Canis lupus familiaris: one gene and its partners. The protein of the gene in region 4 interacts with the protein of the main gene of each other region in a pairwise test. Links are inferred from orthologs where the notes say so. Each region holds a gene or a part of one and is shown on either strand. Other genes may lie near its edges. The genes, in order: CDKN2C, MAGOHB, EXOSC1, REL, ACOT8, IL36RN and HDAC7.

What was found.
Region 1: the proteins of REL (region 4) and CDKN2C interact in binary tests that used the Homo sapiens proteins (3 or more experiments, as listed by UniProt). The two-hybrid records come from large-scale screens. The link is inferred for Canis lupus familiaris from reciprocal best matches to the Homo sapiens genes REL and CDKN2C.
Region 2: the proteins of REL (region 4) and MAGOHB interact in binary tests that used the Homo sapiens proteins (3 or more experiments, as listed by UniProt). The two-hybrid records come from large-scale screens. The link is inferred for Canis lupus familiaris from reciprocal best matches to the Homo sapiens genes REL and MAGOHB.
Region 3: the proteins of REL (region 4) and EXOSC1 interact in binary tests that used the Homo sapiens proteins (3 or more experiments, as listed by UniProt). The two-hybrid records come from large-scale screens. The link is inferred for Canis lupus familiaris from reciprocal best matches to the Homo sapiens genes REL and EXOSC1.
Region 5: the proteins of REL (region 4) and ACOT8 interact in binary tests that used the Homo sapiens proteins (3 or more experiments, as listed by UniProt). The two-hybrid records come from large-scale screens. The link is inferred for Canis lupus familiaris from reciprocal best matches to the Homo sapiens genes REL and ACOT8.
Region 6: the proteins of REL (region 4) and IL36RN interact in binary tests that used the Homo sapiens proteins (3 or more experiments, as listed by UniProt). The two-hybrid records come from large-scale screens. The link is inferred for Canis lupus familiaris from reciprocal best matches to the Homo sapiens genes REL and IL36RN.
Region 7: the proteins of REL (region 4) and HDAC7 interact in binary tests that used the Homo sapiens proteins (3 or more experiments, as listed by UniProt). The two-hybrid records come from large-scale screens. The link is inferred for Canis lupus familiaris from reciprocal best matches to the Homo sapiens genes REL and HDAC7.

What each region holds. Positions count from the first base shown.
Region 1 is NC_049236.1:10,264,364-10,268,536, forward strand, and holds the start of CDKN2C (cyclin-dependent kinase 4 inhibitor C), read right to left. Parts: upstream 2,801-4,173; 5' UTR 2,631-2,800; intron 2,180-2,630; 5' UTR 2,169-2,179; coding exon 2,040-2,168; intron 1-2,039. UniProt on the Homo sapiens protein: Interacts strongly with CDK6, weakly with CDK4. Inhibits cell growth and proliferation with a correlated dependence on endogenous retinoblastoma protein RB.
Region 2 is NC_049248.1:11,014,357-11,016,908, forward strand, and holds part of MAGOHB (protein mago nashi homolog 2), read right to left. Parts: coding exon 2,550-2,552; intron 1,832-2,549; coding exon 1,721-1,831; intron 1-1,720. UniProt on the Homo sapiens protein: Required for pre-mRNA splicing as component of the spliceosome. Plays a redundant role with MAGOH in the exon junction complex and in the nonsense-mediated decay (NMD) pathway.
Region 3 is NC_049249.1:10,916,542-10,920,041, forward strand, and holds part of EXOSC1 (exosome complex component CSL4), read right to left. Parts: intron 2,368-3,500; coding exon 2,279-2,367; intron 336-2,278; coding exon 302-335; coding exon of another isoform or gene 295-301; intron 1-294. UniProt on the Homo sapiens protein: Non-catalytic component of the RNA exosome complex which has 3'->5' exoribonuclease activity and participates in a multitude of cellular RNA processing and degradation events.
Region 4 is NC_049231.1:62,305,008-62,308,507, reverse strand, and holds part of REL (proto-oncogene c-Rel), read right to left. Parts: intron 3,157-3,500; coding exon 3,016-3,156; intron 1,710-3,015; coding exon 1,605-1,709; intron 1,036-1,604; coding exon 823-1,035; intron 263-822; coding exon 194-262; intron 77-193; coding exon 5-76; intron 1-4. UniProt on the Homo sapiens protein: Proto-oncogene that may play a role in differentiation and lymphopoiesis.
Region 5 is NC_049245.1:33,783,335-33,787,268, forward strand, and holds the start of ACOT8 (acyl-coenzyme A thioesterase 8), read right to left. Parts: upstream 2,801-3,934; 5' UTR 2,694-2,800; coding exon 2,575-2,693; intron 1,289-2,574; coding exon 1,152-1,288; intron 1-1,151. Other genes in the region: ZSWIM3 (zinc finger SWIM domain-containing protein 3), read left to right, coding at 3,204-3,358. UniProt on the Homo sapiens protein: Catalyzes the hydrolysis of acyl-CoAs into free fatty acids and coenzyme A (CoASH), regulating their respective intracellular levels. Displays no strong substrate specificity with respect to the carboxylic acid moiety of Acyl-CoAs.
Region 6 is NC_049238.1:37,370,110-37,373,167, reverse strand, and holds the end of IL36RN (interleukin-36 receptor antagonist protein), read right to left. Parts: intron 3,042-3,058; coding exon 2,914-3,041; intron 2,720-2,913; coding exon 2,495-2,719; 3' UTR 501-2,494; downstream 1-500. UniProt on the Homo sapiens protein: Inhibits the activity of interleukin-36 (IL36A,IL36B and IL36G) by binding to receptor IL1RL2 and preventing its association with the coreceptor IL1RAP for signaling.
Region 7 is NC_049248.1:39,626,314-39,629,813, reverse strand, and holds the end of HDAC7 (histone deacetylase 7), read left to right. Parts: coding exon 1-27; intron 28-263; coding exon 264-348; intron 349-1,759; coding exon 1,760-1,898; intron 1,899-2,056; coding exon 2,057-2,102; 3' UTR 2,103-3,237; downstream 3,238-3,500. UniProt on the Homo sapiens protein: Responsible for the deacetylation of lysine residues on the N-terminal part of the core histones (H2A, H2B, H3 and H4).

The DNA of each region.
Region 1 (4,173 bases), on a different chromosome or scaffold from region 4:
ATAGTAGACACTCAAATGTTTGTGAAATCAAATATAATCCACTGAAAAATTCCTACAAAGTTGATCTGTCACTTTAAATTGTTTATTTAAAAAATAATCACAAATTAAGTAATAAAATATATTTAGAATGAATAATATTTTATGAATGCAAACTATATAGATGGCCAAGGTATTAAGCTTCCCTGTTGATAAAACCCTGCTGACCTAGCCTTGCCTTTGGAGCAATGGTAAAAATGATACATAATTTATTTTTTGAGAATTTCAATAAAATATATTTATTAGTTAAAAACGAACACAATCTAATTTTTGCCACAACTATCTCTAAAGATTTAGTCACATTTAAAGATCTAGACCGGGAAAAATAAGGGACAGACACCTTGGATCTTTGTAGAGCAAATGCGCGATTAAGGCCTTTCACATTATCCTGATTGAAAAGCTTACACTAGGAAGGGGGGAAAAGCTTTTGCAACCAGGTTAAATGAACATAATTATAGAAGAAAATTCGCCTTTCACAGAAAATAATAGTAATACTGGAAATTGTTTTGAAAGAAAGTTCTTTCTTGAGTTATGACACAACTTCAGAGTCAGGATTATACATACTGAAAATAAACCTTGAGACTCCTGTTTGTGTATGTTTCATTATATAAATTAGGGTTAAGCCACAATAAATGGGTATTAGTATATTGATAAGTGTGCTTAATATAAACAAGATTGCAAAGTTGTATTAAAAATATCAAAACTTTTTGTCAGTCTTCCTGTTCATCAAAAGTCCTGTAAGATCTTATTCTGAACATGGGTTAAATTGCTCATTCTTAGTCAAATTTATATAATCTTTGGATTTTCAATAGGAAACTTTTCAATATATCAAATTTGTAGCATTGTTATCATCATCAAAGCTATTAAAAACTACTAGGTGGACAAAGAAAAAAATTCCTTATCCCATAGAATCTACGTGAAATAACAAGATTAAATAATTTAGTATTTATGCATAAATTTCCTTAATACTGAAATTTTTGCAAGGCCGGTATGTTCTGATTTAAAAATGTACAGACTGAACTTCGTCTGTTAATAGCGTATCTCCTGCTACTTTTAAGTCTAATTCTTGTAAGTAAAACAAAGCATTCTAAAACCTTCTCCCCAATGAATTTTCAAAAACAGCTTCAAGTGTTGCATTTCCGAATAAGAACGGTTTATAAGAACACTATTAGAACTTTGATAAAGCAACTATTTGAGACTACTTTGCCATTTTTCTGTTTCTAAGCCTTTCAACTAAGTTACATGATAATTAACATTCAGAGGAGGAAAAAAATTATCAGGTACAATACTTGGCAGCTGGACATGTTTCATTTCTTGCTTGTAAATCTAATTACTGAAAATTAGAACATACCACCGCATGACCTCAGAGACAAAAATACTACAAACTGAGCTCTGATTAGAAAATTCAACTTTTTATTCCTCCTCAATCCCGAACGGGTGGATGGTATTGCATTAACTGTGAAATGTACATCCTGTCCCTGTGCCCAGGCCACCTATTCCAAACGAGGAAAGGTCGTTTGTCAAAACTTGAAGCATTTGAAGGAAAAACACCCTCGCCAGGAGTCAAGAAAATTAACGTTAAAGCCAATTATTGGAGCAAAGCACGGAAACCACTAATAGCAGAGTATTTACTTCAAATAATAACTATAATAATGTGTTTACAGAGCTGTCTTAAAACACACACACACACAGACACACACACACACACCTCGGCGCTGCTTCGACTACTTTTAAATCCCCACCGTCACAAAAACATTCCAAAAATTAAGACCAAACCTGGAACCCATCTGATATCGAGGATGTCATTGAATTCGACGAGTTTGTTCAAAGTACGTCATTTTTGGGGACTCGGATCCACTTAAAGATATAAAATATGGCAACCAAGTAGGCTTAAAAAACAGTGAAATTCTGTACCCCTGAAAGCTTAAAAGCCGTTATTCCAGAAACCCGGGTCACGTAGGCAACATTGTTGACCTGTTTTCCCCACCTCTCTGGATACCAACCTGCAGCGCAGTCCTTCCAAATCCATTTTGTGCATTGACGTTTACATTATTTTGCAACAAACTAGTAAGTTGCTCTAGGTCCCCCCTGGCAGCTGCAGACGCCAACTCGTTCCCCCAAGGCTCGGCCATTCTTTAGGGTCCTGACGATCGGGAAAAGATGAATTAGTTGTTTTTCTTTTTCCCCTTTCCTTTTGCTCCTAACCAGGCTGCATGATGGCATCGGAGACTGACAGAAGGACTGGGATGGTTAATCTGGAGTAGAGCTTGGTAGTAAATACTAGTAAGATCTGCCTGCCAAAAGCCCGCCCCTCGGTTCACACGTGATTATTCAGCAAAACTGAGCCATTGGAGAGGGGCTCCGCTCCTCGCTCTTTAGCTTAACCCCTGTGAAGAATTCTGGTGACTCAACAGAAAGACACACAGACGTCTATACATTGCCGGCAAATTGCTCTGGACGTAAAATGCTGGCAGAGCTGTCACGTATCTACATACAGGTCTCCGCGAGTCCTGCGTGCGGGGACCTCGGCGGCTAGACCAGGGCGTAGAGCGCCGCGGCAGGAGGGGTTCGGGGGAGAGGAGGCATTAACCCACCCGTGCTCACGGCGGTGGCTGGAGCCGCGCGAGCCAGAACCGCGGGGGCAGGTCCTCGCAGGGCCCGGTCTCCATCCGTGTGCCGAAGGGTCGTGCTGCGCCCGCGGCGGGGAGGGCGCCCGCGGCGGGGAGGCCGGCGCGGAGGCAGACGCCGCTGGCAGTTCGTGGCCCTCAAGCTCTAGGTCCCAACGCTCCTGTGTGGCCTCGGCTGCTCGGGGGAGCCCCGACTCGCTCCGGGCGGCCCCGCCGGCTAACGCCGCGCGGGAGGGCTCCGCGGCCCGCCTGCCGCGCCGCCGCAGCCTCGCCGAGCCTCCCGGGCCGCGGGCGCCGGGCTGCGAGCGCGCCTCCGAGGACGGCCGGGCGCGCGGCGGGCCCCGGGCAGGTCGCTCATGCCGGCCCCCGCGGGTCCCGGGACCCCCGGCGGCGCGAGGAAGGGGGCGCGGGGCGGCCGTGCGGGCCCCGTCTACGCGGCCCGGGCTGCTGGGGCGGCGCGCCGCTGGCTTCCCGCCTACGACCGAGCCGGTCCAGACTTCCCACCGCAGCCTCTCCTCGAACCGCCGCCGCCGGCTCTTCCTTCCTTCCGCGGGTTTCGGGGGACCTCCGGAGGTCGGGAGCGGCCGGGGAAGCGCAGGCCAAGGTCCGGGGACCGGGGGCCGCCGCAACGCCCGAGAGCAGCGGGTCCTGCCCGCCCGTCGGCGACAGCCCCGCGGCTCCGGCCCCGCCGCCGCCCCGCCGCCCTCCGGCCGCCCACGGCCTGTGCCCCCGGCCCGTGCCCCCGGCCCGTGCCGCCGACGGGGCGCGGCCGCCAGCGAACTGTGCCCGCGGCCGAGCCGGGCACCGCCGCTCCCTCCGCAGCCGCAGCGCTCCCGCTGACAGTTTCTTTTGTAGCTGGTCCCCCAGATCGCCGGGCCCCGCTCTCTTCACCCCTGCAGACAACTTGCGCGTTGTCCTCTTTTCAGCTCTTTTCCTTCCCACCCGCCTTGGCTTCTTTTTTCGCTCAAACAATTGCTGCTTCTGTTGCCGCTGCGGAGACGGTGCCGGTTTCTTCTCTCTTTTTTCCGACCTCATCAGCTTTTTTTGAAAAGAAAAAAATTGAGCGCTTTTTGAGTTGAAAAACCCGCCCCCATTTTAACGGCAGAGTTTTAAGGAGGCTCGGCCGAGTTGCAGCGCCGCGGGAGCGGGAGGCCGGGCGCCGCCCACGCCCCGCCCCCTGCCCGGGAGGCGCTCGCGCTCGCGGCTCGCTGGCCCCGCCCCCGCCCCGCCCGCGCCCGCGCCCGCGCCCGCGCCCTTCCTCCCGCTGCCCCGCTCCCCGCCGCCCGCCCGTGCCCTTCCTCCCGCCCTCGCGCTCCCCGCCCCGCTCCCGGCTCCCGGCTCCCGCTCCCCGCTCCCCGCTTCCCCCGCCCCGCTCCCCGCTTCCCCCGCCCCGCTCCCCGCCCCGCTCCCCCCGCCCCGCCGGCCCCGCTGGAGCGGCGTTCTGCCCGGCCGAGCCGGGCTTGGCCTCCCTGAGGCCGGCTGGCGGGATGCAGTCGGCGACTCCAGACCT
Region 2 (2,552 bases), on a different chromosome or scaffold from region 4:
AGACTCATAGTTGTTTGACTTCACAAAGCATGTAAAATTAATACCTACTAAAGCAAATGTAACATATTACAGACATTCTTAGTGTGCCCCAATTATTGTATAAATTTTTCCCTAGATTTTATCTGCAAATCTAAAATCAATAATTAAGAGGCTATGTGTGTAGTGATTTATCAAGTAAAATTAAAGAACATTTTAGCTATGTTTTGACCAAGAAACCTAATTATACACAGTTTATGACATGCACAAAATGGAGAATTAACTAAGGCTCTCAAACTATCATAGAATCTTTGACTTAAAGATCCAATTGATAGGGATACCTGGGTGGCTCAGCAGTTGTTGAGCGCCTGCCTTTGGCTCAGGTTGTGATCCCCAAGGTCCTACGATCAAGTCCCACATCAGGTTCCCCCAGGGAGCCTGCTTCTCCCTCTGCCTATCTCTGCCTCTCTCTGTGTCTTTCATGAATAAATTAATTAATTTTTTAAAAATCCAATAAATGATTTCTGGAACATGCCTACCCCTCCCTACTAACCAAAACACATAAACCCATCATCAAGTGGGTAGATGAAAATACTGAGTTCTCTCTGAGTCTAAAAGAGATAAATGATTTGCTGTTATGGTGTCTGTTTTTTAGTACATAAGTACCTATTGCATAAAAGAAACCAAGATTTAGGGGATCCCTGGGTGGCGCAGTGGTTTGGCGCCTGCCTTTGGCCCAGGGTGCGATCCTGGAGACCCAGGATCGAATCCCACATCGGGCTCCCAGTGCATGGAGCCTGCTTCTCCCTCTGCCTATGTCTCTGCCTCTCTCTCTCTCTCTCTGTGACTATCATAAATAAATTAAAAAAAAAAAAGAAAGAAAGAAACCAAGATTTAAAAAGTTACTTTTCAAAACTGTTTACAATATGTCACATAAATACTATTAACTATGACCTTTGCTTTCCTAAAAAATGCCTGTTTAAATAGAAGAGTTAAGTGATTGCACAGAACATCAGCATTTGATTTCTCCATATTTTCTTCCAGTCAAGGAAGGGGATATAAAGTATAATCCTCAGGAATATACAAAAATGAAATTAACTGTTTCTTCCTCCAGGATTTGTATTTCAATTCTCCAAGAGTTGAAAAGACCCAATCAAACTGTCTTTCTACAGAGGGAAATTAAGCCTTCAAACTTCTCCAGAAAAAAAAAAAAAGAAGAAAAAAAAAAAAAACAAACTTCTCCAGAAGCCCTTTGAGAAACATTAATTACTCCAAAGGGAACAACAGGAGGCAAATGCGGTAGTCAGTTTGCACAAAGACGCAATCAAATCCCTCTCTTGGGCCTAAGAGTTCTCAAAGTTATAAAAATGAAGAAAGTGAATTTTATAGTCAATAAGAATCTTGTCTTGAATTTCACACTGTACTTTTTCTTAATAGAATTAATATACAATAGCAATTATTCATAACAGTGTGAAAACATCATAACTTTAACTCGTGAAGCTACATAGAAGACTCGTCAGGAAGATGTCTAAATTCAGAGCTCTGCACTGACTCCTTTACTATTCAGAAGTAGGACAGAAAATGAGACTAAGTGAAATAAAATCAAAGAGTATTGATCAGATGCCTACTAAATAAATGGAAAACCAAAGAATCAATGAGGATCTATTCTAAATAAATAAGTAGAAACACAACATTTATATTACCAGTTTCTACTACCATGCCTAAAGAACCACTGAACACAAACCTGTCGGCCAACTCTGTCAGGGGGAGGCCACAATGCATCATCTTCTTTTGTAATTTCACTGTCATCAATAATCCTCTTCAGTTCTTCCATTACACTCTTGTGTACATAAGCCTGAAAACAAGTTACAATAAAAATTCCACAATGTCTATTTCTTCCCACAACTCAGGATGAAATGATAATACAAAGTTACAAAACCTAAATATTCAAAGAGAGTATCACAGGAAAATCTAATACTGATTCCAAAAGTACAAGTTGGGAGGGAATCACTCATCTTACAACTTTATTAACTCTCTTGCCCTTTCCTTTAATATATATCTGTTACTAAATTAAAATAAATAAATTAATAACTTCCACTAGCCCCTTTTTAAAACTTTGGATCTGCCTTTGTAACACGGAACTCAAATACATCTGAATGGTTAATGGTGATTTGGAAAATCTGTGGTGAACAGAGACAAATACAAGTACATATCCCAGTTACTGCTCTGAACTTTTTCTTACTTAGCCCTAACTTTTGAGCCTTTCATGTAAAATTCACTGTGTTTAAATCTTGACTATCCATTAGTTTAATAAGGAGTGGGATAAGGAGACATAACTAATTATAAAATGAATGAAATTATATGTTCAAAAGTGGGACTACAACTTAATATACTCAGATTGCATCTTCTTCTGTTACACATGCTACCGTTATATCTAATTTAAAGACTCCCTTTTCAACCTATAAATTGGCTTCTTTACAGCAATACAGCCTTAGGTGTATTTTTGTAAATTCAAAAATGACATGAAGAAAATGGTCTAAATGTAGAAAATTAGACATTCAAAAAGAACTTACCTC
Region 3 (3,500 bases), on a different chromosome or scaffold from region 4:
TACTACAGTTGGCTCTGAAAGAATACAAAGTAAATCTGAGGGAATAGCAAAGAATAGACACCTGGCTTCAAAGGCAAGGAATAAAGTAGTCCCCTTCTGCTCAATAGAGCAAACAAAAAATCCTAAGGAAAGGAAAAGGACAGTGAGGTGAATTCCACACTTTCCAGTAGGAAACACCTTAAAATTCCTTGGACCTTTGGATCCACATTCCCACAGATGTTTGAAATTCCCTGGAGTAATTTAAAAGGATCGAGATTCCTAAAGTCATAAGGGGAAAAAAAAAAAAGAACCAACCAACAACCTTGTCTTTTTCAGTAGCTCGGACATCTTCCTTGCTATAAAAAAGAATTAACAAAAGATTAATTATCTGTGAGAATTATCCTGCAGAATCATAGCAGACAGAGAGCTACAAGAATAGAGAGAACAAATCATAATTGGGACCCAAAGGCCACCCAGAAGTGGGGTGGAGAAGCATTCCAAGTCCTCCCCTGGAGGAGAAAACCACATTCCCATTCTTGGGTCACACAGAGCAGCAGTATCAATACCTTTGACTAGAGAAAAGCAGATCAGATTTGGCAGGAAAGAATAAGGAACTTTGCTGCCTTAGGAAAGCTTGTACAGAAGCACTACAGAACCAACATGGAATCCTAAGGGTGGAAAGAGCCTTAGAAGCTATATCTAGCTCACAAGAATTGTTGGTCTCTACTTTAAAAACCTACAGGAAAAAACAAACAAAACCCTACCATTCCACTCACCTTTTTAAAAATATATTTTATTTTTTTAAGATTTATTTATTTTACAGAGAGAGAGAAAGAGTGCATATGCCATGAGTGGGGGGGGGGAGCGTGCACCCTATTTTACAGAGGGAGAGAATCTCAAGCAGACCCCTCACTGACTGCAGAGCCAGACACGAGGCTTGATCTGACGACAGCTTATGAGATCACGATCTGAGTTGAGATCACAAGTCGGTCGCTCAACCAACTGAGCCACTCAGGCACCTCTAAGATTCTATTTTTAAGTAATCTCTATGCCCAACATGGGGCCTGAACTCAAAACACCGAGATCAAGACTTACATGCTTTACTGACTGAGCCAGACAGGTGCCCCTCACCCACTAACCTTTTTTTTTTTTTTTTTTTAAGATTTTATTTATTTATTCATTCATAGAGACAGAGAGAGAGAGAGGCAGAGACTCAGTCAGAGGGAGAAGCAGGCTCCATGCAGAGAGCCTGACGTGGGACTTGATCCAGGGTCTCCAGGATCACGCCCTGGGCTGCAGGCGGCGCTAAACCGCTGCGCCACCGGGGCTGCCCACCCACTAACCTTTTTACCTTTTTAAAGTCTTTCGGGGGATCCCTGGGTGGCGCAGCGGTTTGGTGCCTGCCTTTGGCCCAGGGCGCGATCCTGGAGACCCGGGATCGAATCCCACGTCAGGCTCCCGGTGCATGGAGCCTGCTTCTCCCTCTGCCTATGTCTCTGCCTCTCTCTCTCTCTGTGTGACTATCATAAATAAATAAAAATTAAAAAAATAAAAAAAAATAAAAATAAAGTCTTTCGGGATCCCTGGGTGGCGCAGCGGTTTGGCGCCTGCCTTTGGCCCAGGGCGCGATCCTGGAGACCCGGGATCGAGTCCCACGTCGGGCTCCCGGTGCATGGAGCCTGCTTCTCTCTCTGCCTATGTCTCTGCCTCTCTCTCTCTCTCTCTCTCCGCCCCCCATCATAAATAAATAAAATTAAAAAAAAAAAATAAAGTCTTTCAATCCTTAGATTTAAACTATATTAAATACAAAAAAGGAAGATATTTCTTAAGATGCCTTTAACTTTTTTTTTTTTTAAAGATTTTATTTATTCATGAGAGATACAGAAAGAGGCAGAGACATTGGCAGAGGGAGCAGCAGACTCCCTGCAGGGAGCCCGGTGCAGGACTCAATCCCAGGACCCCGGGATCACGACCCGAGCCAAAGGCAGACACTCAACCACTGAGCTACCCAGGTGCCCCTAATTTGTTCCATATGAACTTCCTGCAACACTAGTTTCCAGCTTAGCTCAATTCTTTTCATTTTATTTTAAAGCCCAATCTTGTCAATATTTTCCTTTTGTCCTAGCTCATACATTATAACATTTCCTTTGGACACTACCTGGACAGAATCAAAGAACAAAGAGGAGAGAGAGGCAGGTAGATATAGGAACTGTAATTGTTCCTAAAAATTTCAATCCCTGTTCTATTCTAATCTCATTCCAGGTGCTGATGCAAATGCAAAAACATGAATACTTCTTACCGGATAGTTCCTCGAAAAGAGTTCTTAAGTGGTGTGGACCCCACATATAGGATGTGCACTTTGGCAAAGCGTGAATTGATGCTAGAGACCTGTGGAACAGAAAAAAGATCAGCATTAGAGTAGTAGCAGTTGTCAGTTCAAGGAGGCAGCAAGAAAGGAATTACCAGTGTTTTAGTCCAAGCAATCCTACTAATTATAGAATTTAAGACAAGTTAACTCCTACTTAATTCTGCATAAATGATATATGTCAAATGGAATGAGAGTCTCTCCAGCCACCTAATAAAGTTACTGTGGGCATCCAATGAAATAATATGGAATATATCTTGAAAAATACAGAAGCCTAACAAATAAAAACAGGGCATTACCGTAAATCTAGACCTTTAACTGATCTTACCAAGAGCCCGGTACAGTGCACAGAAAAATTTTTTTAAATGTTTATATTTCTTTTTTTTTTAATTTTTTATTTATTTATGACAGTCACACACAGAGAGAGAGAGAGAGAGAGAGGCAGAGACACAGGCAGAGGGAGAAGCAGGCTCCATGCACCGGGAGCCCGACGTGGGATTTGATCCTGGGGTCTCCAGGATCGCGCCCTGGGCCAAAGGCAGGCACCAAACCGCTGCACCACCCAGGGATCCCCAGTGGACAGAATTTAAGTGTACATTTCAGTTACTGTGTAATATTTGGATCACTGCCTCTTCAGTTATTTTAAGAATAACACATTGATTTTCTGCTGGAACAATTTATAAACAGCAACTAAGAACTCAAGTTGATTTAACTTAACATGGGGGTGGGCAGAGAGTAAGGATGTCTTGTAGTTACTGATCAGTATAGCATTAATTTGTATTTCCCCTGAAACACCCCAAATGATGAAATTTATTTTTAAAAAAGATTTTATTGGGATCCCTGGGTGGTGCAGCGGTTAAGCGCCTGCCTTTGGCCCAGGGCGCAATCCTGGAGACCCGGGATCGAATCCCACGTCGGGCTCCCGGTGCATGGAGCCTGCTTCTCTCTCTGCCTCTCTCTCTCTCTGTGACTATCATAAATAAATAAAAATTTAAAAAAAATAAAAATAAAAATAAATAAAAAAGATTTTATTTATTTATTTGAGAGAAAGAAAGAGACACAGCATGAGTGGAGAGAAGGGGCAGAGGGAGACAGAAAAGCAGACTCCCTGCTGAGCAGGGAGCCTGATGCAGGGCTGGATCCTAGGATCACCACC
Region 4 (3,500 bases):
ATACCTTTTTTGATGAATCTTCCTTCTCCAGTTGATACTAGGGTACCAGGTCTAGGTCTTTCAGGAAAATTAACTGCTGTGATAAAGTTTTTCCATTATTAAATGCAATTTAAAAAAACATCAGCTAAAATTTGGAAAATTGAATAAAGCAAAAAACCCAAAATCTATTTAAATACAAATCAAATACTCTTACCACAATCTTGCCACAGTTTCTGGAAAAGTAGAGTTGTTTTTTGTTTCTTTGCTTTATTGCCATAAGTATCTGGTTAAAAAGAAACGAGGAAAACATGTAGATCATCATAGGTTTATGTGGCTTCTCCTTTAAAAAACAGGTGTTTTATTCCCATAAAGTGCTTTAAACAAATGTATATGCTTTGGATTTATTAAGTGTTGCAGAATGTGTCCCAAGTAGGTAGTAAAGGGTCTAATACTCATCTTGTTTTCTCATAACACCTATAAGTTAACAATGTCAACTAACGCAATAAGGGCAGGTAAGGACGAAACCAAAATGGAGACCATTCTGAATGGCAAGCTTTCCATCTATAAAAAGGGCACAATAAGGACAAAAATAGAACCTCAAATATAAAATAAATTTTGGTAAACAGTTCAGATACTCTGAAATTATTCTAGATTCCTTTCCAAAGACAGGAATACAAAGAGCATAAATATCAATAGGTTAAAAAAAAAAAATCACCGAAAAATTTTCTGGAAATAAAACGTGAACTATAAATAAACCTAACAGTATGCAAACGTATCTTACAAGAAAATGGTATTAGGAGAACTTTAAGAAATACATAAAACCTTACCACCAAGAACTCATACCTTTTTCATCTGGCAGATATCTAAAATCCATTGATTCACTAACTTCCTGGTCAGAAGGTCTCCGCAACTGCATTTTTACTGTCACTGGTTCTGTTATAGCTCTGCAATATGGTGGAGTCTTAAAAACAATGGCTACTTGACGGTGTACATCAGCTTGCGAAAATATACCTTTTGCTTCCCAATCATTCAACACGAACCGAACTTCTATGTCATCTAATGAATATAAAAGCAAAGGAACAGCAATGGAAAACAAAATCCATCTATTAATCTAAAATACAGATGGCTCCCAGCTGATGATGGTTCAACTTGACAATTTTTTGACTTTATGATGGTGTGAAAGTGATATGCAGTCAGTAGAAACCGTACTTCAGATTTTGATCTTTTCCTGGATTAGTGATAGGCAGCATGACATTCGGAAGATGCTGGGCAGTGGCAGCAAGCCACGTCAGCTACATGATCAGGACGGTAAACCACTGATATACTCACAACTGTTCTGATTTTCACTTTCAGTACAGTTTTCAATAAATTACATGAGATAGTCAATACTTTATTATAAGTAGGCTTTGTGTTAGGTCATTTTGCCCAACTATAGGCTAATGTGTTTTCTGGGCATGTTTGAGGTACACTAAGCTGAACTACGACGTTTGGTAGGTTACGTGTATTAACTGCATTTTCAATTTAAGATTATTTTCAATTTACAGTGAATTTATCATGGTATAGCCCCACTGTAAGCCAAAGAAGATCTGCATATTCTAAATTCAATGAAACAAATAAATAAATACCTTTCTGAACTTTATCACATAGTAGAAATATTTCATCACCACCTCGGACACTTCCACAGTTCTTGTTTACACGACAAATCCTTAATTCTGCAGTATTAGGAGCACCTAAATAAAAAGGATTTTTTAATGAGTTTCTGTCTTAGTAATATTTTTTATTCTTTTTTTAAAAAAAAGATTCTATTTATTTATTCATGAGACACAGAGAGAGAGAGAGAGAGGCAGAGACATAGGCAGAGGGAGGAGCAGGCTCCATGCAGGGAGCCCGATGTGGAATTTGATCCTGGGACTCCAGGATCATGCCCTTGGCCGAAGGCAGGCGCTAAACTGCTGAGCCACCCAGGGGTCCCATTTTTATTCTTTTTTGATGGTGAGAATTCTAGGGAAACAATTTATAGGACAGATAAAAGCTTTAGTGTATAAAGAAATTAAGGACATTAAGTACATTAATCATTCACACCTGTCCTTTTCCTTTCTGACGACAAGCCCACCCTGGTCTATAGCCTTGTGACTTCATTTCTCAGCAATAATAGGTCCACTAGTTAAATTTCCTTGTTCCTAAATTCTCATCCTTTCAATCCATCCATACACTGTCACCAGATTAATCTCTTAAATCATGACTATAACCCTATAACAAGGTGATTTCACGCTCCCTTTTATTAGGAATATAATTTCAGTAACTCTCCCTGGCAATTCAAAATTCTCCGTGAGAAGGATACCCTGATCTACCATTATAGGCCTATGTGCTTCTAGATGCAAAATAGGCCATCATATACCAGGAATGGATGCATATATAAGAGCAAATATGTACACGTGTGCACAAAAACTTTCAGGGCAATTTCATAATCTTTTAAAACTATAAATATCCCTATCCTTTGATCCAGGATTTGCCAACATTCATACTACTGTAAAATTATGCTAGAGACACATATGCACAAAATATGCATATACAGGATATTTACTGAAATACAATTTATTAGAGAAAAAATCAAGAAGGAAACAAACCAAATACCTTGTTTGGTTTAATAAGATGATGATACAGCCATATAAGGAAATATGCAGCTACTGAAGGGAACAAGGTACCTCAAAGGGAAAAGGCTCAAGATCCATTGCTAAGAGAAAAAATTTTTTTCCAAAGGATCTGTGATGATTTAAGTTGCTAAAAGTATATTGTATCAAGGATAGTGATAATGTGTTTTTATATATGAAGAAACTGGTGAAATATGTACCTGAGGATATAGATTATCTTTGGAGGAGGAGATCAGAGAAGATCTAGTCTTCTTGTTATTTCAGTAATGCTTGAATTGTTCTTATAATGAACAAACTTTCTCTAATTGCCAAAATACTTTAAAAAATTAAACTAAAAAACATATAAATACAATACAATACAAATACAATAAAATAAAGTACTTACGGTTGTCATAAATCGGGTTAGAGACAACAGGAGGTAGAGCCGTTGTCAAATTACCATGTTCATCAGGGAGGAAAACTTGAAAACATAATCTCACCACGTTGAGGTCGCAATCTTCAATATCCAGCAGCTGTTGTTCAGGGACTAAATAGTACATTTTTTTTTTTTTAAAGAATGTAAAATAGTCACATAGAACTAAAACCCTGCTAGGTCCTCCTCCCTGCCCAACATTTCCAATAACCCTAAGTAGCATCCAATCTGTACTAACAAAATAGAAGAGTATAAAATCGCAAGAATGCCTTTTATCAGGATCATCATGTAGTCACAGGATTCATTAAGTTATGTGCATGGTCAGGAAGTAACTATCCTAAGTCATCTGAAATTTAGAGCAGAATGCCAAAATGATATTAATAACCAACCAAATTTTTACAAAAAGGGTTGCAGGTTATACACAACAGAGAATAGGGAGAGTATAAATCTGTATGAGA
Region 5 (3,934 bases), on a different chromosome or scaffold from region 4:
TTAATTTCCTTACTACTTAAACCCATTGACAAGTCCTTGAAACAGGTAGAGTGATCTCTAGAGACTCAGCTGCCTCCAGGTGAGTACTTTGCTAAGGGCAAGAGGCAATCTTAGTTTAACATTACCCTGACCCTGTAGGATCCTGGAAGTCTTCTTTAGACACGTAGAAATTCCTTTGGAAACTTCCTTTATCTCTACCATATTGGCATGCTGCATGTTGGCAATCACCCAAGCATATGGCCCACCAATACACATCTGAAGGGTCTCATGACTCAGGCTTTTTAAGACAGGAATAAATGACCTTTTCCTAACAATAACTAGCCCCCTCAAGGTCCTGGAAACCTGACTTCTAAAATACCTTGGAAACTTGTGCTGTCCCTAACCCCCATCCAACTTGAAAGTATATAGTCATTTGTCACAATCCCAGTACAGCCTTTTCTGCCCAGAAGTCCTGTTCTCGTGCTCTAGTAAGACCACCTTCTTAGGGAAGCCTGGGTGGCTCAGTTAGTTAAGCATCCGACTCTTGATTTTGGCTCAGATCATGATCTCAGGATGCTCAGCAGGAAGTCTGCTTGAGATTCTCCCTCTCCCTCCTGCTCTCCTCCCCCCACTCTTTCTTTCTAAAAATAAATAAATCTTTAAAAACAAACAGACAGGGACACCTGGGTGGCTCAGTGGTTGAGCATCTGCCTTTGGCTCAGGTTGTGATCCCGGGGTCCTGGGATCTAGTCCCACATCAGATTCCCCGCAAGGGGCCTGCTTCTCCCTCTGCCTATGTCTCTGCCTCTCTCTCTCTCTGTGTGTCTCATGAATGAATAAATAAAATCTTTTTTAAGAAACAATAAAAATAAAAACAAACAAAATCATCTTTTTACACCAAACACATCTCAAGAATTCTTTCTTGATCATTTGCTCTGCCGCCAACATTTCCTCAACAAGCACTCAGTGATCTCATCCGTGTGAAGTCCAACACTCCTCTGGGCCCCAGACCTTGCTCCTCTCTAGGTTCCCCTGAGGGGAATCAACTGTCTCACTCTCCCCTCCCCCACCGCCCTTCCTCCCTCTTCCAGCCCATCAGCCCCCCAAGTCCAGGAACAAGTGGCTGCTGGGCCCTCAGGGTTGGGTTTGGGTATAAAGAGGGGATAGTTTACCTGTCCGTACAAAGTAACAGTGCAGAGAGTGCACATGGACGTCTTCACTCACAGACTTGGCTGCAGCCACCAGGGCCTGGCCCACAATCTGACCCCCAAACAGCCGCTGGGTTGTGGGTACCCAGTAATGTCTTCCTCTGTGGAGAGAGGGGAAAGCAGGAAATACTTGGGCCAAATCCTGCAACCATCCTATAGGGCAAGACCTCTCAACCTTATTGACGTCTGGGATCCTTCTGAAATCTGGTGAAAGCCATGGACCCTTCTCCCAGGCAAATACCCTTACTCTGCATACAGCATACATGTAACTTTAGTGCCTTCAAGACTGCCCAACCCTTCTGTGGGCTTCAGTTAAAGATAAGGAACCAGCTCTCTTCTTTTACCCAAAGAGAACAGGGATCAGAGAGGGAAAGTGACTTGAGTGAGGTCAGTCAACTTAAACATTGCCAGTCCTGAGCAGTGTCTGCGTCTTCTGCCCCCAAGTCCAGTGTTTCTTTCACTGCCGATTCCAGGATAAAGCAGAAGCCTCTCAAGGCCATAAGGGGACCAAGATGATCCCCAAGAGCTGCGGGCAGACTGCGTTCAGGCCTGCCACTTGGGCCTCTCAACTTTAGCCCAGTTCTTCCAAGAACTACAAAGGGTCCTAGAACTCAAAGGGTCCTCAGGCTTTAAGGGTAACCCTCTCGCGCACAGATGAGGAAATGAGGCCCTGGAACTCCAGCTTCCTACCACTGAGGCCAGCTCAGCTCCAACCTAGGTTAGCATTTAAAAAAAAAATATAATGCCTTCCAAGTAGCCCCTCCTAGTCATTTGCAATTCATTAAGTAGGGGGAAGTGAAACTCTAACATTTAAGATTGCCTCTGAAAAGCCAGTAGGAACCCTGACGGCCAAAACTATTAAATCCCTAGCTGCAGAAAAGCATTTAAGTGGTATCTGGAAGGAAACTGGCTCAGATCTCAGGGCAATGAGGTACTAGATCCAAGTGGTGGAAGGTGCGAGGTACGTAAAAGGAAAGAACAGTGAATATGCAAGAAGCTGCTTCTAAATTTTCAACCGGATCAGCTGCGTGCATTTAAGTGACCACCCTTTCTGGGCTGGCCCCTAGGGACAGGACTCCTCCAGAGAGCCTGCTGTGAAGGCTAGCTCAAGCCACCACTTCGTCTGCCCGGATGGCTAGGGCCTCCTAGTGGCGGGGCTGAGCAGACCTGGCGCGCACCGGAGGAAGCTAGGGCAGCGAGACCAGCCAGGTCTGTCAGGGACCAGTTCTCTCCCAGGCGCGGCAGAGCCTGCATCCTGCACAGAGCCCATCCCCGTCCGGGGGGCTATGAGCAGGAGGCAACGCGGTGGCGGCATCGAGGTCGGAAGTCTCTGTCCCAATGTGGGGGGTGGCGGGGGGAGGGGTGCGAGCCAGATGCAGCCGGCTACCTGAACAGATCCACGTCTAGCGGCTCGAGGTTGAGCACGCTGGTAACCAGGACGCTGCGGAGGTCCCCGGAGGGATCGCCGCCGCCCTGCTCATCCTCGGGAGCCTGCCGGGACGCCATGGGGTTCACGCGCGGCCAGCCAGAACACCGCGCTGAGCGGACACGAGGACACCCGCACTGAACGCCGACCTTCTTCCGGCAGCTTGCTCCAGTAACAGGAAATCGCCTCAAGGCCCCCCCGCCCAAGAAAGAGGGGTCCAAGTTATGATTGGTCGGCCCTCCTGTCAGTCTTCGCGAGAGGCGGGCTAGCTTTCTCTAGCGATTGGAGAAAATGAGTGCCAGTCTGGGAATACCGTGTGTGATTGGATGTAACTGTGAGGGGGCGGAACCCAGGGCTGAATAATAAGAGCTGAGCGTCATTTCCCCTCTGTGAGAAAGCAAAGACGCCCCCAGACCCCTAAGCCCTCTCGGCCCTTAGGGCTCCTCCTGAGCCCCGTAACAGGCCACTCAGCTGAGGCCGACCCTTAAGGCATCCTGGACATGCGCCAGCCTGTAGGCCCTCACAGTGTGACCTCTGAACCCTAGTGTTGATCCGGGGGCCAGCCCCTGGTGTGGGCTGAGGGGGCGGCCATGGAGCTGGGCAGCTGCTTCAAGACCTACGAGGATTTCAAGGAGTGCTTCAGCGCCTACAAAAAGGAGAACAGGTGCTCCTTCATTCTCAGGGACTGCGTCTCCGTCCGCTTCCACAACCTCAACCATGGCACCTGCATCCGCGAGGACATCCTGTAAGGGCGGGGCAGGTCTGGGGCGGGGCAGGAGGGTGGGGAGGAGGCCGGACTGTCCCCTGGAGGGAGGCCTTGGAGGAGGAGGAGGAGGGAGCGCAGCTGGGCCCCGGTCTCAGGGCAATCAACAGGCACCGAGCACTTGTCCTGTGCCTGGTGGAAAGAGCAAAACATTCCCAAGGCATCGCTTTTTGACCACCCACTCCCCCTTCATTCATTCACTCCATTATAGCTTTCCTGAAATAACTGCAATTTGCCCCATTCTTTGAGCACCTGCAGTATCCCTCGTACAAAGTACCGTCTTCACAAATGGATACAAAACGCCTCTGGGATGATTTCCTCCATCAGTGTTCTCTTGACAAAGCAATGAACGCGGTCAGTTGTTGGTTAGTTTGCTCATTCATTCGTTTGTTTTCTACGTGGTTCTCGAGCTTCTGAGATTAACAACCGTTTTTTCAAACACTTCCCATGCCCCAGGCATCCTTCGCTGTTGTGTGCATGCTTTACCAGGCAGGGCTGTATTGAGAATTATAGTTAAATGCTGTTTTTCCCTTTTGGCAGCTGAGAAAACAGGCGGAG
Region 6 (3,058 bases), on a different chromosome or scaffold from region 4:
TGCTGGAGTGACAGTCCTTGGCATGTCAGACTGGAACTGCAAAGGTAATCAAGGAGGAACTAAATCTTGCAGGAACAGAGAATATTCAACAAATTTAGTATGATCAACTTTTAAACAGAATGTTTGGGGAAATAAAAGGTCAGATGTTAATTTTGAGAAGGGAAATGAAAATATTGGAGAAAATTGTAACCATAATAAAATAAATGTATTTCTTTCTCTTTCCCTCTGTATTAGTTATCTCATTGCTGTATAACAAGTGACCCCAAAATTTAATTGAGGAGTCTGAGTGGCTCAGTCAGTTAAGTGTCCAACTCTTGGTTTCAGCTCAGGTCATGATTTCAGGGTTATGAGATCAAGCCTTGTGTCAGACTCCATGCTCACTGGGAGTCTGCCTGAGATTCTCTATCTCCCTCTGCCCTCCCCACTTATGTGTGCCTGTGCTCTCACTCTCTCTCTCTCTCTCTCAAAAGATGAATAAATCTTAAAAAAAAAACCTTAGCAACTGAAAGCAAAAACATTTATTTTCTCAGTTTCTGAGAGTTGGGGATCTAGACCCGCTTAGCTGGTTGGTTCTGCTTCAGAGTTTCTCTTGAGGTGGCAATCAAGTTGTTGGCCAGAGTTGTGTCATCTGAAGGCCTGACTGGGGCTGGGGAAGCTGCTTCCAAATGCACTTATGTGGCAGTTGGTAGGAGGCTTCATTTTTCAACACATGGGTCTCTTTTTAGGGCTGCTTAGGAGATGGCAGCTGGCTTCCCCAGAGCAAGTAAACAAAGAGAGAAAACAAGATAGAGGCTGCAGAGTCTTTTGTAATCTAATCTCAAAAGTGGCATAATATTACCTCTGCCACATTCTGTTGGTCACAGAGAAAATGTGGGTACAATGTGGGAAAAGACACACACACGATGTGAGATGGGATCAGCAACGGCTGTGTTAATGTCATAGGGCCACCACAACCAATTACCACACAGCTGGTGATTCAAAACAATAGAAATTTGTTCTCTCACAGTTCAGGAGACTAGAAGGCCATCCTCCCTCTGAAGGCTTTGGGAAAAAATTCTTCCTTGCCTCTTCCTAGCTTCTGGCAGTTGCCTCAATCATGGCATTTCTTGCCTTATTGCAGTGAAAGTACAATCTCTGCCTCCATCTTCACATGGCCTTCCTGGTCTCTGTGTGCCTACGTGTCTTCTCCTCTTCTTGCACATGCAGTCATGTTGGATTTAGAGCCTACCCGAATACAGCATGACCTCTTGACTAATTGTATCTGCAAAGAACCTAATTCCAAATAAGGTCACAGTCTAAGGTATCCAGAAGGAAATAAATTTCAACCAGCACAGGATCCTTTGGAGGCTGAAACCCACACCTTGCAATCTTAGGGAGCTGTGACCACTCTAGGTCCAGAATTGTTCTTTCTATAAATTCCTTCTCCAGGAGATTTCAACCATGCTAACTCATCATATTCTCTTTCTTTGCAGGTTTGAGGAGATCTATGTTCTGATTCTTGCTGCTGCTGACCAGCAGAGTTCAATTCAATTTGAATTTCACTCAGGGAGTGCCGAGGATGGTCACAAATATTGTCTGCTCTGTTTTCCCCAAGATTAACTTATTTATTACACAAGGAGTCCATCTTCATCATGGAAGAATTAGAAAATGCAAATAAATAAAAGAACAAAAAGAAAAATCACCTATAATTGCTAAATTGATATTGCTAAAATTGAAGTAAACTCTTTCAGACTTCTATGCAGACACATATAGATATTTTTTAAATTAAAATGAAATTACAAGATATGCTACTTTGTAATTTGCTCTTCTCACTTAGAATGCCACGAGCAACTTTTCATGGGAATAGATACCAGTATCTTGGATTTTAATGGTACCTCAGGCTTCAAAAGGTAATGCCTGGACATTCTTCAGCCTTCTGAGCTGGAGTCATTCCTCGGACATCACCACCCTCTGCTGCCATGGCTAGAGCACGAGGGTGGATATGGAAAAGATAGAATATGATGGCAGCTGAGTTGTAAGGAAGAGGGATGGGGCTGGGCCTTGGGTCTCTAACTCTATGACCTCCCTATTCTGCATACTGGTGGATGACAGGACTTCATGTGAGCAGCTGGTGGCCCTAATAGGCTCAACTTGGGATGGACTGGTCTGTGGGGCTCCGGACTACTGGGTAAGTTACCATGAAGCATGAAGGATTTCCACAATTCCCTCAACCCTGACCCCTTAGGAACCTTTTTATGTGATTTCCAATTCATCTTGAGTGGTTTTTGCAAGATTCCACACAAGTAGCACCACTCAACAGGGAAAGAAAATGTGGACAAAGCCCCAAATCTCAGAAGGATTTACCTAAACTGGGAATCAAAAGGGAGAGTGGCCGAGTGCCAGCCAGAGGTGAGGCCCTGAGAGCAGATGGTGGGTGGCTGCCATCAGTGTCCTCCTCCACCTCTGCCCCGCCTGAGCTGCCTCTGCTCAGGTAGGTTCTGAGGGATGCATTGCCCTAGTCACACTGCTGGAAGTAGAAGTCTGTGATGGGGTTGTCCCAGCTGGCATCCTCTGAGAGCTGGGTAAGTCTGAGAGGCTGGTCTGCTTCAGGCACGGTGCAGAGGAACCAGCCTGGGTAGGCAGCTGACTCAAAGCTGGAGGTGAGCCCCGTGTCCCGCCGGTAGAAGGTGAAGCTCTTGGATTCCTTGGCACCAAGGTAGAGTTCCATGATGTTTACTGGCTGTGAGCAGAGGGGCAGGTGAGGGGAAGGAGTGGAGGAGGCAGGAGAACTGGGCTGGGGGCATGGAAAGGCAGGGCTGCAATCACAGAACCCTGTGAGGGAGAGGAGCTCAGGCCCTAGGATGCATGGCCCAGTGGCTTCAGGATCTGCTGGCTTATGAGGTCAGATAGCAAGGAAGCCCCCACAGGACTCACCTCTAGTTTCAGAGTTGGTTCCTGCCCTGTCCCACACGACAGGCACTGGCTTCCTCCCTGGACGCCCAGGATGACTGGAGACAGCTTGGCATCCAGAGACCGGTTGGGGACAACACTGATCTCCTCACCTAGAGAAAGGGAGCCA
Region 7 (3,500 bases), on a different chromosome or scaffold from region 4:
TGTGTGGCTGCTCTTCTGGGCAACAAGGTAAGCTGCCCCCCAGCCCCCGCATCTGTGCATCTGTAGGGCAGGGGTGGCAGGCCTAGAACGAGGGGGACCAACGGGGTGCCCCTTTCCCAGGTCAGATCTAGGATCCGGGTTTCCAGCCTTAGGCAGAGCCAGGAGCACATGAGTATTTGTGCCTGGAAAGCCAGGGCCCTTGGCGGTGGGAGAGAGCTGGGCCTGTGCGTCCCTACGGGCTGATAGGCTGTTTTCTATTGTAGGTGGATCCCCTCTCAGAAGAGGGCTGGAAACAGAAACCCAACCTCAACGCCATCCGCTCTTTGGAAGCCGTGATCCGGGTGCACAGTGAGTACAGAGAGAGGGCACCCACTGACCCCAGACTTGGGAGAACCTCCAGGGGCTACTGCCCTCAGTAACCCGGGCCCCATGGCCTCCAGTGCCCACCAGGCGGGGGGCTCCACTGCTGTGCAGCAGTGGGCTTCCTCTGAATCACCCCCACAGTAATGGCGGGACTTCCTCCCTCTCCATGTTGGGTACTCCTGGAGCCCTCCGGGTGGATCCAGTGAGGACCATCAGTCCATCAGGGGGGACCCCCTGCCTCCTCAAGGCAGGACCGGCCTCCCATCCCCAACCTCAGCCCTAGGCCAGGGCCAGGCTGGAGCAATAGACCTTTTGCCAAAAGCGCTGGATCCTAGTTTGACCCTCAGTCCTGTCCATGGGGATCTTGAGAGCTTTGCCTGCTTTGGGGGCTTAGAATAACCCTACATTTGGGGGTGCCTGGGTGGCTTCATCGGTTCAGCATTCAACTCTTGATTTTGGCCCAGGTCTGGCCTCAGGGTCATGAGTTGAAGCCTTGCATTGGGCTCTGTGCCCAGTGTGGAGTCCACTTAAAAATAAATAAATAACCCTACATATGGAAAGCATTTTGAATTTTCACCTTTAACCTCCATGGAGCACTTAATGTAAAGACCCACGTTCACTGCTAGGGATGCAAAAACGAATGAAGTCGATTTCCCCACATCCAGGGCCAGTAGGGGAAGTGTGCATAACAATAAAGATGCTCCACTTTGCGTGGAGTCTTCACCCTGGGACCAGGCTCTGGGCTGGGCATGTCCTGTGGACGTTATGTGCCTACAACAGTAGGCAGGATGGTCATGTCCATGGCTAGCGGGGGTGGTGGAAGCCCAGGGCGGGTAGGTGACTTGCTGGTGGCTCCACAGAGCAGCCGTGGTGGCAGTCAGCTCTGTGCCATGTCCCTCCCACGTCCCACACTGTCCTGTCCTATGTGTTGGGCTGAGCATCACGTGGGGGCTGTGCATGAGTGACACCCTGTGTTCCAGGAGGCTGGGGCTCGGGATCTGTGAGGTGGTCTGAGATAGACTCCATCTAGGGAAGAGTGAGCTCTACTGGTGCTCTTAGGGACCCCATGCTGTGGGAATGGGTCAGAGGTGGGCTCTCGCCCGCAGGCGTAGGAGAGTGGCTCGGGCACCTGCTGGGGCCTCTTCGTAGCCCCACCGGGTCTGGTCTGCTCACCCTGTCAGGGCTGCGGGGGGCCAAGTGAGGGAAAGTGTTATGTTGAGGGTAGAGGCAAGGGAGAGCGCTGACCCCAAACTGAGGATACGCCCATACGCCCACTGACGGGGGGCCCTTGGCCTTGAGAGGTCCAGCCTCGTATCATCAGTCTAGGATGCGCGGTGTGGCAGGGTGGAGGGGCTTGTTTCTCTAACCCTTTCTGACTCTCGGCTTCTTGGCCCAGGTAAATACTGGGGCTGCATGCAGCGCCTGGCTTCCTGTCCAGACTCCTGGGTGCCCAGGGTGCCAGGGGCCGACACAGAAGAAGTGGAGGCAGTGACCGCACTGGCATCCCTGTCCGTGGGCATCCTGGCTGAAGAGCGGTAATGCCCGGCCCCCGGCCCACACAGCCTCTCCACCCCTCGGACCCTCCCTACCTGATGACCCCAGATCCCAGCACGGCCACCCCAGCCTTCCCCGGCTTCCCGGCATGCAGCCCCCGGCCCTCCAGCATCCCCACCCTTGTGTCTCCCTCCTCCAGGCCCCCGGAACAGCTGGTGGAGGAGGAAGAGCCTATGAATCTCTAAGGCTTCACAACGGATTTGCCTGCCCACCCCTGCCCTTCGGACCTGGTTCTCCTCTAGCCTCTGGCAACAGTACCCAGTCCCCGGGTCTACAGAGGGCCTTCGGGCAGGTAGTTGGGGCCAGAGCACAGCCCCTTGCCAGTCACCCCAAGGAGCCTGAGCAGGGCCCTGCATCTAGGATAGGGACCAAAGAGGACCCGGGGAGGAGGCCAGCTGGGCAGCCAGCCCCACCTCAGTAGGGCTCTCTCAAGAACAGAGTCGACCCCTTTGGGGTCCAGGCCCCTGGCTGGGCCCCATCCCTCAGGACTGCACAGAGGAGGACTAGCTCGGTCGGGCCCACCGATAACCACTATTCTTCATGGCTCCGTAGACCCTGGGCTTTGCACACGGCCCCAGGCTCCACGCAGAAATGTGAACTTGGCCTCAGCCAGGGTGGCCCTCCCTAGGCTCTGAGGGCTGAGCTGGAGTATGGGGGCGGGGGGAGGGAGGGGGAAGTCAGGGAGTCCCTTACCCCTGAGTGCAGGGGCATCCCTCTTGCCTGCTTCCTCAGATGACTCTGGAAGCTTCCCCCCCCTGCCCACTCCCCCCCCCCACCCCCGCCACTGGGCAGGGAGACAAAGCTCCTTCCGAGAGAGCAGTGGTCGGCAGGCCTCCCATCGGGTCCCAGCCCCTGCCACAGGCCCCCCTCCATCAGCCATCTCAGTGCCCTGGCGGAGCCGACAGGTGCTCTGGGAGTTCCGTGCTTCCTGAGCCGATGGTGCCAAACTCTTCATCTCCCCTCAGCGGCACAGTGTGACCGCCAGGGGCCCCTCGGTCACCGCCCCCCTCCGTGAGCCCTCTCTCTTTCTGGGGTCTCCCTCACCCAGCTCTCACTCCTGCCCCACATAGGACTAGCCTGGCTGAGGGGAAAGGGGTGGGAGAGTGGATGCAAGACACAGGGGAGGGGAGGCTGCCCTGGCAAAGTCTTCAAGGCTTCTGGGGTCCTGGCCTGGGGCCAAGAAGGAAAGTGTTTGTGTGCGTGTGAGAGAGAGTGTGAGAGTGTGTGTGTGTGTGTGTGTGTGTGTGTGTGTGTGTCTTCCCCAGGACCACCATACCCTGTGTATGTATGCATGTTTTTGTAAAAAAGAAAAAAAAATAAGAAAAAAAAAAGGAAAAAAAATCTGAACAATAAATGTTTTATTTGCTTTAAAGATGCCTGTGAAAGGGCCTCTGGGGAGGAGGGGTGTTCGGTGGGTGAACAGCTGTACCTCGTGCGCACGCGTCTCGTTTACTGTGGGAAAGGGCCCAGCCCCCCTCCAGCCCCCCTTCCAGCTCCCCCCCTCCGTGGCAGCTCCCTTGCAGAAAGAATCCCTTCTGAACACACCCTGGCCGTCCCCACTTGCCCCACCTGGGGGTAATAGA